Linked DNA regions of Arabidopsis thaliana. The protein of the gene in region 1 purifies or fractionates together with the protein of each later gene. This does not show direct contact. Each region holds a gene or a part of one and is shown on either strand. Other genes may lie near its edges.

Evidence for each region. The genes of interacting proteins can lie anywhere in the genome.
Region 2: the proteins of TOC132 (region 1) and TIC110 purify together in Arabidopsis thaliana (affinity purification with western blotting, with the first as the bait; one study listed by BioGRID). This does not show direct contact.

Annotation. Positions count from the first base shown.
Region 1 is NC_003071.7:7,210,115-7,217,922, forward strand, and holds TOC132 (multimeric translocon complex in the outer envelope membrane 132), read right to left. Parts: upstream 5,504-7,808; 5' UTR 5,366-5,503; exon of another isoform or gene 5,013-5,365; 5' UTR 4,996-5,012; coding exon 1,375-4,995; 3' UTR 1,280-1,374; intron 1,166-1,279; 3' UTR 945-1,165; downstream 1-944. Other genes in the region: AT2G16630 (Pollen Ole e 1 allergen and extensin family protein), read left to right, coding at 416-758; PRORP2 (proteinaceous RNase P 2), read right to left, coding at 5,823-5,951, 6,023-6,091, 6,194-6,314, 6,413-6,591, 6,690-6,791, 6,961-7,808. UniProt on the Arabidopsis thaliana protein: GTPase involved in protein precursor import into chloroplasts. Seems to recognize chloroplast-destined precursor proteins and regulate their presentation to the translocation channel through GTP hydrolysis.
Region 2 is NC_003070.9:2,129,281-2,137,626, forward strand, and holds TIC110 (translocon at the inner envelope membrane of chloroplasts 110), read right to left. Parts: upstream 6,424-8,346; 5' UTR 6,284-6,423; coding exon 5,760-6,283; intron 5,677-5,759; coding exon 5,617-5,676; intron 5,532-5,616; coding exon 5,408-5,531; intron 5,302-5,407; coding exon 5,233-5,301; intron 5,139-5,232; coding exon 5,040-5,138; intron 4,911-5,039; coding exon 4,844-4,910; intron 4,526-4,843; coding exon 4,461-4,525; intron 4,384-4,460; coding exon 4,289-4,383; intron 3,859-4,288; coding exon 3,731-3,858; intron 3,658-3,730; coding exon 3,557-3,657; intron 3,416-3,556; coding exon 3,199-3,415; intron 2,893-3,198; coding exon 2,738-2,892; intron 2,584-2,737; coding exon 2,458-2,583; intron 2,352-2,457; coding exon 1,380-2,351; intron 1,272-1,379; coding exon 1,023-1,271; 3' UTR 773-1,022; downstream 1-772. Other genes in the region: AT1G06930 (TPRXL), read left to right, coding at 1-392; AT1G06960 (RNA-binding (RRM/RBD/RNP motifs) family protein), read left to right, coding at 6,650-6,722, 7,135-7,307, 7,591-7,684, 7,787-7,866, 7,984-8,253. UniProt on the Arabidopsis thaliana protein: Involved in protein precursor import into chloroplasts. Forms a voltage-dependent cation-selective channel at the inner envelope of chloroplasts, which specifically responds to a transit peptide.

The DNA of each region.
Region 1 (7,808 bases):
ATTCATTCCCTAACTCACTTCAAAACAAGCCTAGATTTTCGGGTTTTTTCGGTTTTTGGCTCCATGAGTGAGCTTTCATATTTGTTCCTTATAGTACTTCAAATTCTGCTTCGGTATTTTGGTTTTTAAATTTGATTTTTCAACTAAAACCGAATTATTTGTTGGTTTGAAAATTGTTGTTTACTTAACATTTCGGTTCTGTTTTAAATTAAAATTGATAAAATTACAAAGAAAATAATGTATATTATATATCTTTAGTAGCTAAATATGATTTTTGGTAGTATAATCTTACTATTGGACTTTATTCGGTTTGGTTAGGCTAAGCTTGGTTCTTAGTTCGGTCTTACTTTCATATCTGTTTATTATGCACACCTTTGTTTCAGATAATTTTTAACATTGTGGCTTTGTGATATAGGTTGTGGATGAAACCTGAGTACAGATGCTACTGGAGGGCGATAGGTCCAGACACAAAGGTCGCAGTTGCATTTGGGCTAGTAGCCGGGAGAATATACGGCACAGATATGACAGTACGAGAAGCGCTTGACGGGCGAGGAGAAGCCTATAAGACACTTCTAAGAGAGGCAACAACTGCATTGCTCAATTCATACAACTCTCTAGGATTTCCTTATAATTCCGTCGCTGTGATCACATATACCAATCTGGCTCTCCTCGGGAATTCGGAACACGATGTCCTCATGACTGCTATTCGTTTCATCAAGGCTAATTCCGGGACCTGCAGATTCACAGTCTGCAATTGATTGAATGTGTTTTCAATACTTATATACTCTACACTCTTTCTTTCTCTTTTACATTGTTCTTGGGTCCTTTTGTAATACTATAAAAGTCTATACCTGGATTCATTGGAGAATTTATGGACTATTATTGTATCCCTATTTATACTCGGCATTAAACTTAGTTGTTACAAAGCCTAACGTTCTAGCACTGTGAGCACTAAATGTTGTTATGATATAATGCATCAATGATTGGAGAGGGACATGAACAAAAGTAGATATGCTTCATTCATAAGGGAGATCACAAGGTCTTAGAAATAGAAGAAAAACAAACCACTGAGCTATTATATATCAGACAAGGAACGTGTTATGTTCTGGCTATTTCAAGACACAAACTTTCCTCCAACAATTGGTCTCTTGCTACCAGACAGATCCTGTTCAAAACCAAAGCACATCAACGCTCAGCAAAATCCATTAAGAGGGTTTCCAAGAAAACGAAAATATCGAAATCAGTAATCACAGTAAGATATAGAGATCAGATTGTGTACCTTTTCAACTCACTCTAACATGTTCTTGTGACTAATCGATTCCTAATACTCCAGTGCAAAGGGATGGAAGTGAAATCAGCCTAAATGTTTCTTAATCATTGTCCATATTGCGTTTGCGGGTAATAATAACTAAGTAGCTTCTTGAAGAGAGGAACAATCGCAACCATAGCAAGTTGGAGCTGCTCGGAGCTGTTAACACGAACACTTACTTGCCCTGCTCCTCTATTGTTCAGATTAGCACGAGCAATTAAATTAGAGGAACGTCCAATGGGAACCTGAGACTGTATGTTCCCTCCAATAGCAAGATCACCGTGCCAATCCATTACAGAAAGTCCAAGAGTAGTCAAAAACCGACCAAGCGGATAATCTTTATCTCTCAACTGAGCTTCCAAAGTACCACCATAAGCAAAATCTCCCCGACTAGTCATAGCTCCACCAGACATTACGATTCTGAACCATTTACTAGCAATAAACTTATCTTCGACTTTCAACCCCGCAGAAACCGAATCACCCAAGTGTGTTACAGAAAGACCAGCTGCAGCCTTGTTTCTCCTGAAATTGTTAAATCTCGTTTCGCTTCGAAGAGTATAAGCCAATTCCTTTCCAACAGTTTGCATGTCGAAACCTAGGGAAGTTGATTTACCCTCTCCATGTTTAACCGAGCTGGCCATTTCTAGCTGCACATTTGCATCCTTCTTGTCTTTTGTCACTTGACCTGAGACAGATATTGGTATTTTTTCTTTTACAACAAAGAGCCGTTCTGCATTCACACCTTCATAACCAATATCATGATCCCACCCATGAGTTTCCAGGACTGGCCTAACAAGCCACTGATTGGAGGAATCAAGGTACCGGTAGCGGTGAGTAGGGTTATCAGAGTCAAAAGACGCAGGTAGAGATAAATCTGGCATAGGAACTGGAACTGATGCAGGTCCACCACTCTCCTCTTCCACATTTTCACTATACCCATCAGGCAAATCTTTAATCTCTGCAGCAAATTTCTTAAACATCTTACGTCTCTTTCTTTCCTCTTTCATTTGCTTCTTCATTAAAAGTTTCTCTCGGTACTCCATTTCATCGAGATACTGCTTCTTCTGAGATTTACTAAGCGTAGCCATCTGAGCTTTAGTCAAACTCTTAAACGGAGGAAGCTGATCATACTCTGATTCTTCGTCTGAATCTGATGATTCTTCTAAATCATCTTCATCTTCTTCATCACCATACTGCTGTTCAGGAAGCTTAGGTTGTGGTCTTGATTGCAGAAGCGATGAAAGGAGAAATGGTAATGGCGGAGCCTTGGACCGAGCTGCAAATGGTCTCCCTGGAATATTATCTTGCAACTTCAAAAGAGCATTTGCTTCTGCTAGAATCTTAGATGCAAATGAGAGTAGCAACAAATGTGGCTTCCACACTTGGCCATTCGGTAATACTCTCTGGCCTGCCCGATTAGTCCTGCAAGCTGAGTGATTCTCAACTAAAGAAACAGGGTTCATGAGCCTCATATCTCCAGCTGCTTGGCGAATGGCCTGCTGGATGACATGAGAACGTTGTGTAACAAACATATCATAGCTAGAAGCAGTGCCATTTGGGCCATCTGGTGGAACAGAAGCGGCATGAGTCAAACCCACAATGGCATTAAACCATATCGAAGGACCAAAAACATCACTTATGGTGCGCAGGAGAGGCATGTCACCAGAATCTCTGCTTTGCATATCCAACCTATCAAGATATAGTACAATGTCAGGTGGATTCTTCTTGATGAAAGCCTTAACAGAATTCAGGATCTTCTCATTCTTGGCTTGATCAGACCAGGAAGGTAAGAGACCGGGAGTGTCAATCACCCGTACCTTAATTCCCTGAACCAAACCCTCAACATCTTGAACCCTCTTTGTCCCCATCTGGAATGCATCAGTACAAAATTTCACTTCATCAAATATAGAATTGATCGTTGCACTTTTACCAACCCCACTTTTTCCGAGAACCATAATCGTACAAGAAAAATCAAGTGGATCCTGTCCAGCAGCCTCAAGCTGTTCTGCCATGGCACTAGCGCGATCAAAACTAAAAGCACCAACACGGCTTCCATTTCTGCCCCTCAACTGCTCAGCCAATCCAAGCCTGTATAAAACCTGAGCAACAACAACATTATGCGGGGTTTGCCCTAGTCTATGTGCAAGCCTCAAAAATTTTACCCTGATCAACTGGAGCTTCTCGCGGGTCTCATCATGCTCATCAGCCTCTGTAGTGGTAGAGTCTTCAGCTTGCTGAAACTGATTGTGAGACCCATTCCCATTGACGCGAGACTGTTGAGGAGCACGTGATGCAGGTTCCAAAAGAGGAGAAGCACGACCAAGACCTGCTGGACGAGCAGGTGGTAATGCCGCAGGATTACTTCTAGACTCTGTTGGTGAAACAGAACTTACTACCTCAGGTTCTGTTTCCACATGTGAATTTTCTGTAATCTCTGGATCTACATGTACTCTGCTGCTTTGCTGCTTCTCAAGCTCCTTATTTGGTTGAGGACTCTGAACATCATGTCCTCCATTAGCACTTTGAACTGGTTTGTGTTCTCTACTAGTTACCCCAGGGGAGCCACTATTGCTGTGAACTTCAGTTGACTCAGGATATGAGTGCGGCGAAGAAGCCAAGTGTTGCTCTGGTTTTAAACAAGTACTGTCCCCTTCAGTCTCTCCCTTTTCCCCGGAACTAGATTCCTCCAATGGAGATGAAGTCACAGCACTTGATACTTCATTGTCACCTGAAGCATTAGTAACGATATTACTTGTGTAGGCGGCACCAGTCTCACCATTTCTTTCTGCCTCGGACTCACTGTCCATACATACTGAACCATTCTCAAATAGATCCTTACTTGTTCCTTCACCTTCCACAACATCTTGTTCTGTCTGTTTCTCAAATAGATTCTTACTTGTTCCTTCACCTTCTACAACCTCTTCTTCTGTCCGTTTCTCAAATTGATTTTCAGTTGTTCCTTCACCTTCCTCAACCTCTTGTTCTGTCTGTATGCCATCAACTCTTTCCTCCCAATTATCGACTTCAATGCCATCATTCCATGGTTCCTCAATCCCATCATCTTTAGGGATAACTTCAGCCACCACTTCTTTATTTTTAGGAGAGGCGATTCCATTTCCCAAAAAAGAATGAGTCTTTCCGTTTTCAATACCCACATGCTCAGCTGCTAAATTGGAACCATTAGTATTAGTTGATGTAGCATTCTCAGTGGTATCAACAACATCCAAGCTCGATTCAACTTTATCATAAGAACCACCTCCACCTCCTTCCCCCTTATCACCATTCATTTTAGTAGCCAAAACATCAAATTCAGCCTCTCCCGCACCATGGCTCTCTCCAACAGCCGTAAAATCTTTAACACCCCCTTCATTGCTACTCGTTTCATCCAAATCACCCACTGCCTCTTCAAAATCCTCCACTTCATGCTCAACCATAGAACTTTTAAGAGTTTCCACTAAAGGCAAATCATCAGATTCAAACAATTCACGTTTTGGATCCTCCTCCTCCTCCTGCTCATCATTCTCTGAACCAATCGCTTCCTCAAAAACCTCGTCCTCGTTATCATCCCTTACTTCATCAGATCTCACCAACTCATTCTTCACTACTTGCTCATCACTAATTCTATCCTCAGCAAGCTTCTTATCTTCCCTATCTGACCTAACCACAAACTCAGTCCCATCTCCCATTTTCTAGATCACCACCGCTACGGGAAACAAAAGCCACAAATACAATAATCAGAGATCAGAAATCACTCCAATTACCAACTACGCTTTAACCATCAATATAAATTCCAACAACCAAAAAAAAAAAAAAACGAGCACACAGCTAAAAGAAACCTAGATCAGAGTTAATCACCACGAATCCTAGAATCCTTATCCCTTACCAATTCCAGAAACTAAAATTCAATTGAAGTTAACCAAATCGCTTAAACACAGGTCTAAGCGGTGATAGGGATCTCCAAACATGGAAGAAGAACTTTGTTGATTACAGGAAACGAAAACCAAAACAGAAGAAAGAAGACGAAGAAAGAAGAAGAGAAATGGAGAGAAGCCTTACCAGAAGTTAGAGATAGAGAGAGAGAGAGAGAGAGAGAAATAGAGAGAAGGTGAAAAAGTGTGAAGATCCTTTCATGCGCTTTACCGGCTGCGAGCCTGCGACTACGACGGGGAAGGAGATAAGAGACGTTCATCAACGGTCCTGATCAGTTTGGGTTTAAGCATCGTACGGTTGATAATGACTCGTTGATGCAATCGTGAAATGATGCTGACGTGGACTATATAAAGTAGAGTGAGTGAAGCCGTGAAAGGGAATAGAAAACCCTCGTGCGTCAATTCGGTTTAACCAACCCGGTCTGATTCGGTTTGGTCTACTACAATTTTTTGTGTTCTTTCTAATGAGAAAAGTTCAGTCCCTTATTATAGAACCAATGAACGTTTTTTGTGTTAATCTTCAAAGGACAAAGAATGAAAACTCATAACAAATGATACATGAACTCAATAAGCTGGTGCAGCTACTAAGGAATCTTCCCATTACTCTTAGGTGAATCTAAAATACTTTGTCTGCTAATACACATCCAAGTTCTTGAAGACTCTTCATTGTTTTCGCATGAGACCGGGAAATGCCATGACCCTTTCTCTGATTCCTGATTTTGTCGAAACGTAATTGAGAAACTATCGAAACCGGAGAAAAAAAGGACTGAGATGGTAAACAAACCTGAATGACAACCGAAAAAGGAGACGGCATTTCAAGCTTCAGGTTACCTTTCACAAAAGTATACCGGACCTGTACCAAAACCATAAACCAAATGTTCTAATTGTAGACTTCTCAAAGTTGCACTTTTAGTATAAAAAGTTACATATTGTATATAAGTTTATATAACTTTACCTGATGTCTTTCTTTCCACTTTTGGAAAAAAGTACTCCCTAAGAGTTCAAAAATGTGGTCTCTCATCTCATCATTTGTCACAAGCAAACACTTGAGCTTAGCAGCAGCATACAGCCAATACCTGGAAAGGTAAAAAAAACAAAAGATGAGTGTAGTAACCAAACATTGTTTGTGTTTTTTGTCGAAATAATGGTGCTGAGAGAAGCTAAAAGTTCATACCAATCATCATTGGAACCTGGTGGAGTTGCATACAGGACACCGTTACTAATCCATTCTTCAACCAGATTCCGGTGAGTTGGGTTTTCTAAAAGCGTCTTGACCCGTCTCTTGTGCAATAGAATTAGGGGCCATTTGTTATTACCACTTTCACGGTAAAGTTCCTTCATCACAGATTCAAGCTGCTCTATCCCACATGTATGTGATATCAGTATAGCAAGGAATGGATTCTAAAAATATGGAGGAAGAAAAACAAGTACCCCAGAAAAGATGGGAGAACCTGTGAAAGACTGAAACTGCCATCTACAAAATTTTGTTGGTAGAGCCCAATATTTGCTCCATCTACTATAGCTTCGTAATCTCCATGTTTCTCAAGCCAGTCCTGCCAAATAAGATAGCAACATTCAACAAATATCGACATTTGAATACTCAAGATTGATGACAATTCGCAGCAAAAACTCCAACCAGTGTACCTATCTCTAAATGCTTATCATGCAATATTTAATGTCCAAGACTTATTATAACCAAGCTAAGAGAATCCCATCTCTAACCTGAAACTCGCTGAAGACCACATTTGTCTCACATGAATTCATCTTTGTCTTCCTATCCATAGCCAAAGCCACCAAAGAATCCACAAACTTCTGTGTTTCTACCTCATTGGTATCTACACAAGCTAACTGCTCACTGCAGCTCAAACATCTTCCTGTTGAGCTAACATTACCTTTCTTTACAGTCCATTTACCCTCCCCAACCCACCCATGCCCGTGCCACCCACCTCCATTATTCAAAACAGCTTCTCTAAGCATCCCAACATCAGAACCAATTCCATTATCACCAACCTCACCAGCTTTTTCTCCACAGAACCATTCCTCAATAATTTTCAAAGTTTCTTCACTAACGCAGCCAACATATTCCCTCAACTTATGTAAATATCTATAAACCTTGTTTTCTCGACCCGTGGCAGCACTTACCTTCAACAAAGCCGATATCTCTGCCTCCTCCAATGCAATACCTGCAGCTTCCATGTGCTCTTCTACCTCATAACCCTTTTCAGCCTCCAACTTCTCGCAGAAACAGAGCAAAGCCGGCGCATATGTCCTCAGACGAGGAATCGACACACCTCCAACAGAAACAAACTCCTTAACAACCTTGAAAGCATAATCACCATTACCTTTAGCAGCAGCCAGTCTAGCCACTGAAGTAACAGATGCCTCATTAGGACTTATCCCCGAACTAACCATACGATCAAAAATCTCGAAACCACGGTCAATGGCAAGGTATTGAAGAGATATGTCAGTAATGGAAGCTGAGCATAGGTACAGAAGCGTTTGAAAATGTTGCTGGCTGAGACGTACTTCACTGGAAGTGATGGCTGCATCATAAAGTGCTAATGCAGCTG
Region 2 (8,346 bases), on another chromosome or scaffold:
CCGGAACTCCAAGACGACTCTCCAAACGATCCTCCTCTTCCGGTTTCAATTCTGATTCTGATTTCAATTTTCCGGTTTCAGCACCACTAACACCTCCTCCTTCTTACTTCTACGCTTCTCCATCCTCTACAAAACACGTAAGCCCTAAAAAAACCAACACTCTCTTTAGTTCCTTGCTTTCCAAGAATCGTAGTGTGCCATCTTCTCCGGCTTCTTCTTCTTCGTCGTCCTCGTCTTCAGTTCCATCTTCTCCATTGAGGACATCTGATTTAAGCAACAGAAGAAGATCAATGTGGTTTGAATCTGGTTCGAGTTTAGACTACGGATCGAATAGTGCTAAATCTTCTGGATGTTACGCTTCCCTTGTCAAGGTGTTGCTCAGATCATGTTAAATGATTCTGCCTTTTTTCTTATATTTAACTCTCTCCTATTTTCTTATTAATTTTCACTTCTTTTTTTTCTTTTTTTGTAATCTTGGAAATAATTTCTAAAAACTATGTTTCATCGATTCATATCATCATCTCTATGAATCAATTGATTGGATCATATGGCTTCTATTTTTGTCTTTAAAAGACGTGCTTTTGTATAATTAGAAATTTCGACAAAAACATACTATAACGAGATCAGATCTAGTATACATGTTGATTGTTGAGTATTGTTCTAGTTGTGTGCAGTCATGTGAGACCACCATAGAATTAACAATTAACTTTCACTTACGGTGTTACGGTCAAATCATTTCATTAAAAAAAAAGTTCTCAATGATTGAATTAACTGTTATTCTATTTTTTAGGTTCGTTATGCGGGAACACCCGTCACGTGACACCACATGAGCACTTCAAAGCTGCGCTCTAAATTGTATAAGGGATACACTTCTCGTTTGCAGATTTTCAAATTAATCATATCAAGTTTATGGTTCTGATACAAAATTTTCACAGACTTTGGTCAAATTTCAAATTCAAAATCATTTTTCCACCCTCGGCCGTAACACAATACATAATAACTCAAGTGATTTCTCCAAAGATTTAAAAGACGAAATTGCCCTCTTCTGCAGCAGAAGATAATGCTCCATCTTCCATTTCACGGAGGGCAGTTGCAGTTGAATCATCTATTCCCAGCAGATATTGTAGCCTCAAAACTTTTTCCGGTGCGGGTTTGGGATCACTCTTTGAATAAATAGCATATAGATCAGATAATTCCTCTGAGACCTCCCATGACATTGGCTCAGCCGGCACAGCTTTGTCACATGCAAGCAAATCATTCAGCGACAAGACCTGTAAAACCAAAAAAAAAAAGCATACATACATACACAATTTAGACCCAGAAGCTGAAATATCCATGTTTTCTGTCACGATAAGAGAGGGAAAAGATGATTTGCATACCACTCCTTTAGAGTTTCTCTGCCTGAGTAATGCCACGGCTTGGACCAGCGAATTCGATAATCTACTCTGAGCGAGATCATGGACAACTCTTTTGGCTTTTTCCACATCAATACTGAGATCGGATGGGATTGTCTGGTAGACTTCGGTTTCATCGAATTCACCAGTTCCTGATGAGAAGATGTCACTCACTGTCTTCTTGAATAATTTCTCTCTCAGACTCACAGCGATCATGCTGTCCAGGCTGACATTTGCCTCCTTGAGCTCCCGTATCTGCTTTATGTTCAGTCTTCCTTGGTTAACAGCGGTCTCTATCGCGTTTGCCATTTTTGTGGTGGTTATATTCTTGATAACCTTCTCGGCTTGTGGCTGAGGCAAACCAACTTGTTTTTGCAACTCGTCTAGCTGCTCTACTCTAGCCTTTGTCAATTGCCCATCAGCTAAAATCACTTCAGCTTGTTGCCTAAAAGCCTGCTCGGCTAAACCTACGTGAATGTTGACTATTTCTTTCGAACTCAATCCGAGAATCCCACCAAGCTGATTTAGAAGCAAGTACTCTGAATCGTCTCTCTTTGTTGTGATCTGGGCGCCAAAAGGGATTCTTGTTACCTCTCCAGTTACACAGTAGAGCAAGTATGTTTTGTAGAGATCTATTCTGTCCCTGTCGGGAAGGTCATCTTTGAGAGTTATCTCAGTCTGGCCAGGCTTTCCCATTTTCTCAGCGAGTTCCTTGTCGGGTCTTGTCTTTCTGAGCGATTCAAGGGATCCCCATTCTTCATCTTCATCATCTTCTTCTTTCTCTTGAACAGGGTCCTCCTCAGGTGCCTTATCAGAAGATTCTCCCTTGATATCAGCCACCATTTCAGTCACAACCAACGTGTTGAAAGCAATCATCTTCTTGAGCTCCTTTGCTGAATCAGTACGGTTCTCGGCTGCTCTTGCTCGTCTGATATAGTTTGTGAAAACCCTACGGACCTGCATCAATGAAGGGATTTGATTTTCATGTCTTGCTATGAGAAGTCAGAAAATTTTAACAAATCCTAATACCAAGCATGGAGAAAGTAAATAGTGTGATACTCACAGCTTTGCTAGCAATAGACATGGCAGTCTCTCTGGATAACCGAAGACCATGTGCAGCCTTTCTAACTGATTTGCGAGTTTCAGCATCATAACCATCCACTCCAGAAGAAATGGCATCCCTGACAACCTGGAAAGATTAAACAAAAAGGTAATTAGAGGTAAAACCTTTTGGTAACAAAATGCGAAGGCAGAGAGGGAAGCAGAGGGAAATTGCAGTGCCAAGACCCAAGACCATGAAAAAACCCTTGATAAAGGGAAAAGGGAGGTGATAACTGGATTACCTTTTCAAATATGGTTCCACAGATTTCTGCATGAGCTGTATCAACAGTTTGCTGGGGAATACACAACATAACTCTTAACCTTAATAAAGCAGCAACATTGTCATCGCTCAGCTCTCCATCAGTAACACACTGTTGAAGCTTCTGCCGATAGATTTCTGAGGAAGAGAAGGTGCTTGTCAGATGATTGGGAAAAAAAGACCAAATAGATACTCAAACTGTAAAATAACAGCATGTAACCCACTGAAACACCAGACTTGTTAGAAGTCTGTTAAGAACCAAATCTACAACACTAAAAGCTAGCTTAAAAGGATAAGGAACCCGCAAGTTTACAAGCCATCAACTAAATTGATACCCATGGACACATCTTACATTTGGGCGATTATGTGGCAATTCCAACTGTATACCTCATGCATAACATAAAAACATAAGATTTCATTGTGAACAGAAGGTTCGGCTTATACCTTCATGGATTGCGCCTGCCTTCTGTGCATCAAAGTGCAGCTCTTCGCAGAGCTTTTGAAGGTATTTTGCTTTACTGTCTTGTGCTTCAAGGTCACCACTAGAAACAGCGTTAGCAAGTCTTTTACGGTAAGACTTGGACGTAACATCAACACTAATAGCTTCAGCCTCTCGTTTTCCCAGACCGAGTATGTTTCTAAGTTGGCTCATTGCCACGAGCTACCATACAGTAGAAAGACAATTAGAAATGGAAAAAAACATGCGACTGGGATAGAGGACACAGCATCTGAAAACACTTACTCTCAAAAAAACTTGCAACTAAGCTTTAGTACATAATATCTTATACAAAACTGAGTATACCTTATTTTCTTCTAAGCGCCCACCAGATAAAGCATCTGTAACATATGCTCTATAAAGGAGCTTTAAATCATCCATTCTCCTCTCAAAATCAGACTCATCACCTAAGCCACATAGATCCAAGGTTGAGAGCCAATAATTTTTCTTCAGAAAAGAGAAGGTCAAAAGCATCTTCACCTATCAAAGAAATAGGGCCAACCCCGCGTGCAAATTGATCTGCCTCTGAATGACTTTTCAAGGAAACTAGCAGGTTGTTAAACTCCAGTACTTTTTCAAGCTCTTCCACGACAGATGCCAAACTCTTCCTGGAAAAAATCAGGTCGTTAAAATGACATGCATTGTAAACTACTATAAACTAGACATACTAGATGATCCAATTTGTTTCCACTATTAATTATCACAAGATACAAAAACGCCTATAAAATTAAAATCTCATGACTTTTTTTTAAATACTTATACTATAAGACAATTCACAAAAGCAAAAGAGATCATATGACCAATCAGTTTTTGCAATAACCAAAACTCAAAACTAAAGCCAAAACTTCAATCTCTTTTTTCAACCCGACCAAACTCAATGTTCAAGCAAAGGAATACATATACCCAGCTAAAGTCATAACTCATTGGTATAAGAAATAAAAAAGTTAAATGTGTAACCAAACTGTTCACATGGATAATGATTATTCTATACGATTTTTCTATGCATGATTCTGTAAGCAATATGTTAAAATGATTTACGCTGCTCGTGTGCGGGATTTGAGTATGCTGAGTGCCGATGAAATGTTCTCTACGACTACTTTTCTCGTATGCTCTCTAAACAGGTCTTCAGCAAGCTATGAGGGAGAAGAAACTGTCAGAAGAAGTACAACCAGAGATAGCAGGAAGTCAATGCCACAAAGAAATAGAGTACCTCATCAGAGAGCTTGAATGATAGTTGTGATTTTCTAAGGTCCACAAGGTTTTCTACGTTAATATCTGCAAGAACATGTTTAGAAACATAACCATGTAAGTTTCCATGCATTAAGCTGACGAAAAAGCTAAGTCATATCTTTTTTTGGTTGTCAAAAAGCCATATCTATTATCAATGTTAAATGAGAAGGGACCATTACAGTCGCATGCGAAGTAACAATTAAGGTTGGTATTCAGACAACTTGCTGATAAACGAATATTACAAAACCCAATGGACAAAGAAGTGCCACAATAATCAATATAACCAAGTCAAGCAAACTCAAACCCGTTCTACAAATGTAACATTACTTCCCATCTCAAAATGTAAAACATGAACAACATTACCTCTACCAACTAATTTTAACCGTTCGGCATACAGCTGCTTTGCATTTTCACGAATAGCAATCTCAACCTAGAAATGAGGTCAAGACATTAGCACAGAACTTCAGATTACCAAGAAGGAGTGAGTTGCCAAAATGAAACTTCCATAAAACAACTATTGCGCAAAATCAGAAGTATGAAAAAAATTGGAAATGCCTACCTGAGCATCTGTGACCTTCAATACTCGCTTCCAAGGTAGAAGGAAGGATGAAGCATCTCCAAACACAAGAGCTGAAACATATACAAGCCTCATAAATGCCTGCACTGGAAGCATACAACTTGTGATCACGCTTGTGCTCTCTTTCGAACAATCCTACAATAAACTTAACAAATACTAGGGACTGGCGACTCACCCGACGCTGTTCTGCATCACCTTCACGCTCCCCAGTCTCAAGCCTTTGCCTAAAAATCCTGCGACCAATCTAAACAAAACCAAGGAATTGGTGATTCAGCAATCAAGATCCTTCTGCATCAACTACAAAAAGGCTAACGGCTAATTCAAATGAAGATTAAGAATCTAGAAAGCACCTCCATGTGCATGGCAGCTGCATCAGGTTCGTCTATCCCTAAAGCATTTTTGAACTTGACTATCTTCGCCACTTCATCCCCTTTAAGAGACTGTCCTTCAGTTGGAAGCACGGAAGTTACATACCTAAATCAAGATTAAGATGCAAAGATTACTAATGAATTCCCCACACTAAGAGAAAAGATGAACACAGTATCCTTTGTTGACTCACCGGCAATAAATATCACAAATCTCAGCCTGGAATGCTTCGTCTCCTTTGTTGACACCGTACCTGCAACATATAAGAAGGATCGTTTAAGCAAACTTTTGTTTATAAATCCCAGACACAAATTGACAATTAAATGAAGCACTCACCTATCAGCGATCTTTTCTACATCATCTTTCGTCACAGAGGCAGGATCTTCGAATTCGGCAACATAATTATGCAAACTGATAGCAGCTACCTCCGGTACAGCAGAGTTCAACGCATATACGACAGCTCCACCGGCGGCTCCAGCAACAGCAGCCCCACCAAAGGCAATATTCCTGGAGCCGGCTAAACGGAGCCCAAGGCCGTAACCAGTAGCTAAAGACGCCGCTAATACAACAGCTGAAGTCGCTAGCCTCACCGGCGGTGTCATTTTCTCAACAATCGGTTGCAATCCAGTGAGCTCCTTCTTATTCCCATGGATACCGGGATTCTTCGCCTGCGTAGATACTGATAGTTGGTCGGAGGAAGCAGCTGAGCTACGAGGGAACGAAACTCGATAACGACGGCGAGATAGACACTCAGACTTGGAGAAACGGTGAGGTAAAGTAGGTAGGAAGTGAGAAAGAAGAGGAGACCGAGGAGAAGGTGAAATTGGAGCGTTAATGGCGGTGACGAGTGAGGGATTCATGGTTCCCTCTACTGAGAAAGATCCGAGCAGTCGTTGAAAAAAAGAAGAATCGTAGGGTTTAACGAAAAACAGTAGACAACGGAAGAAGATAGAGATGCGAACGAAGAAAAGGGGAAAGAGATAGGGCCTAACAAAACATCAAAATCCCCTTTCGAACGTCCAGACGTTTTTTAATAATATTATAAAACTACGTGTTGTTTTACTCTTCGGTAACGGTAAGATGTTTACATAAAAAAACAAATTAGACGCCTTGTGTAAATTGGAAACGCCACGATTTCTTCTCTCTTCTTGGCTCTTAGGGCTCGCTAAATTTTCTCAGGGCTGTGACCATCGACCATCGTCGTCTTCGCGGAGCTCAGTTGAAAGATGTTAACGGCTGATATACCACCAAATCAGTCAATCTACATAAAACATATCAATGAGAAGATCAAGAAAGAAGGTAATGCTTACGAAATTCATATAATTGCATCGGTGATTTTCTAAGAGTTTTTGCAATGCTTAAGTAGCTTGGTAATGCTTGTGTGAGCTTCTCTTGAATGAGTTGTCTGAGTTTAAAGTTGCTTAATTTGATGTTTACGAAGGTTAGATTAGATGCATTTAGAGTTATCTTTCTAAGTATTAGGGATTTAGAATTTCTGTCTAATCTTAATAGACCTGAACTAGAGATACTCTAACAAAGGTGCTTTATTTAAGTAATTAAGTAGGAAAGGCGATTGCTTTTGCCATGAAATTTGTTTAGATTGTTTGATTGAAGTCAATGACCTTAAGTTCTTTAGCTGCTGCTTTTGTTTGTCTAAGAGTAATGCTGTTCAAGCAGATCATTGTTTAATGTTTCCACTTGTTTTTTTCAGAGCTGAAGAGGTCTCTTTACTGTTTGTTCTCTCAGTTTGGAAGATTACTTGATGTGGTTGCGTTAAAGACTCCTAAGCTCCGGGGACAAGCATGGGTTGTTTTTACTGAAGTCACCGCTGCTAGCAACGCTGTCCGTCAGATGCAGAACTTTCCTTTCTATGATAAGCCTATGGTACCTTTTTCCTCTCTTATGTTCCAGGTTTATCTATCCCGCTACCGAAAAATGATTTTATCTTGTTATGTGAGACTATAAGCTTAGAAAGTTGCAGAGATTTACTTGGAGGGAAAATTGAGTTTGCTTGCTGATACTTGTTGTTATATAAAATTGAAGGAAGTACAACGACATTAGATGTTGAGGGTATATCATTACACAAGTGATTACTAAGTAAAAGACTAGAAAAAGCTAAATGCAATATTATTATTCAAATCGTGATGTGTGATCTCTGTGGGTGCAGCGGATACAATATGCAAAATCAAAGTCAGATTATGTTACTAAAGCCGAAGGGTCTTTTGTTCCAAAAGAAAAGAAGATGAAGCAAGAAGAGAAAGGTTTAAACTTTCGTTTCCATCACAAGTTCAGATCTTTTCAGCTCATTTCATCTGTGTTTTACTTCGCATCTGATGTTTAACAAAACTGCACATCACTTTCAGTTGAAAGGAAGCGACATGCTGAAGAAACTCAACAACCAAGCATGCCTAATGGCGCAACTACTCAGAACGGAATGCCTGTGGCAATTTCTCTTTCTCGCATCATTCCAACAATACAATATTATCTTCTGACAGACGTCATTATCGCAACTTAGTCTGTAAATCCTTGTTTCCTAATACCCGTCTCTGTAATTTCACAGCCTCCTTTCCAGCCGAGTGGGCAAGACACGATGCCACCAAACAACATACTCTTCATTCATAATCTTCCCATTGAGACGAATAGTATGATGCTTCAGCTGCTCTTTGAGCAATACCCAGGATTCAAAGAGATAAGAATGATCGAAGCAAAACCCGGAATTGCGTTTGTGGAGTATGAAGACGATGTTCAGTCTTCCATGGCCATGCAGGCTCTTCAGGGTTTCAAGATCACTCCGCAGAATCCAATGGTCGTCTCTTTTGCCAAGAAGTGAAAACCAGAGTTTTGTTATGCGGATGAATGGTAATGATATACTAATTAGTAGCTGTTTAAAAGCAAACTGTCTTATTTTATTTGGTTCGTTTCC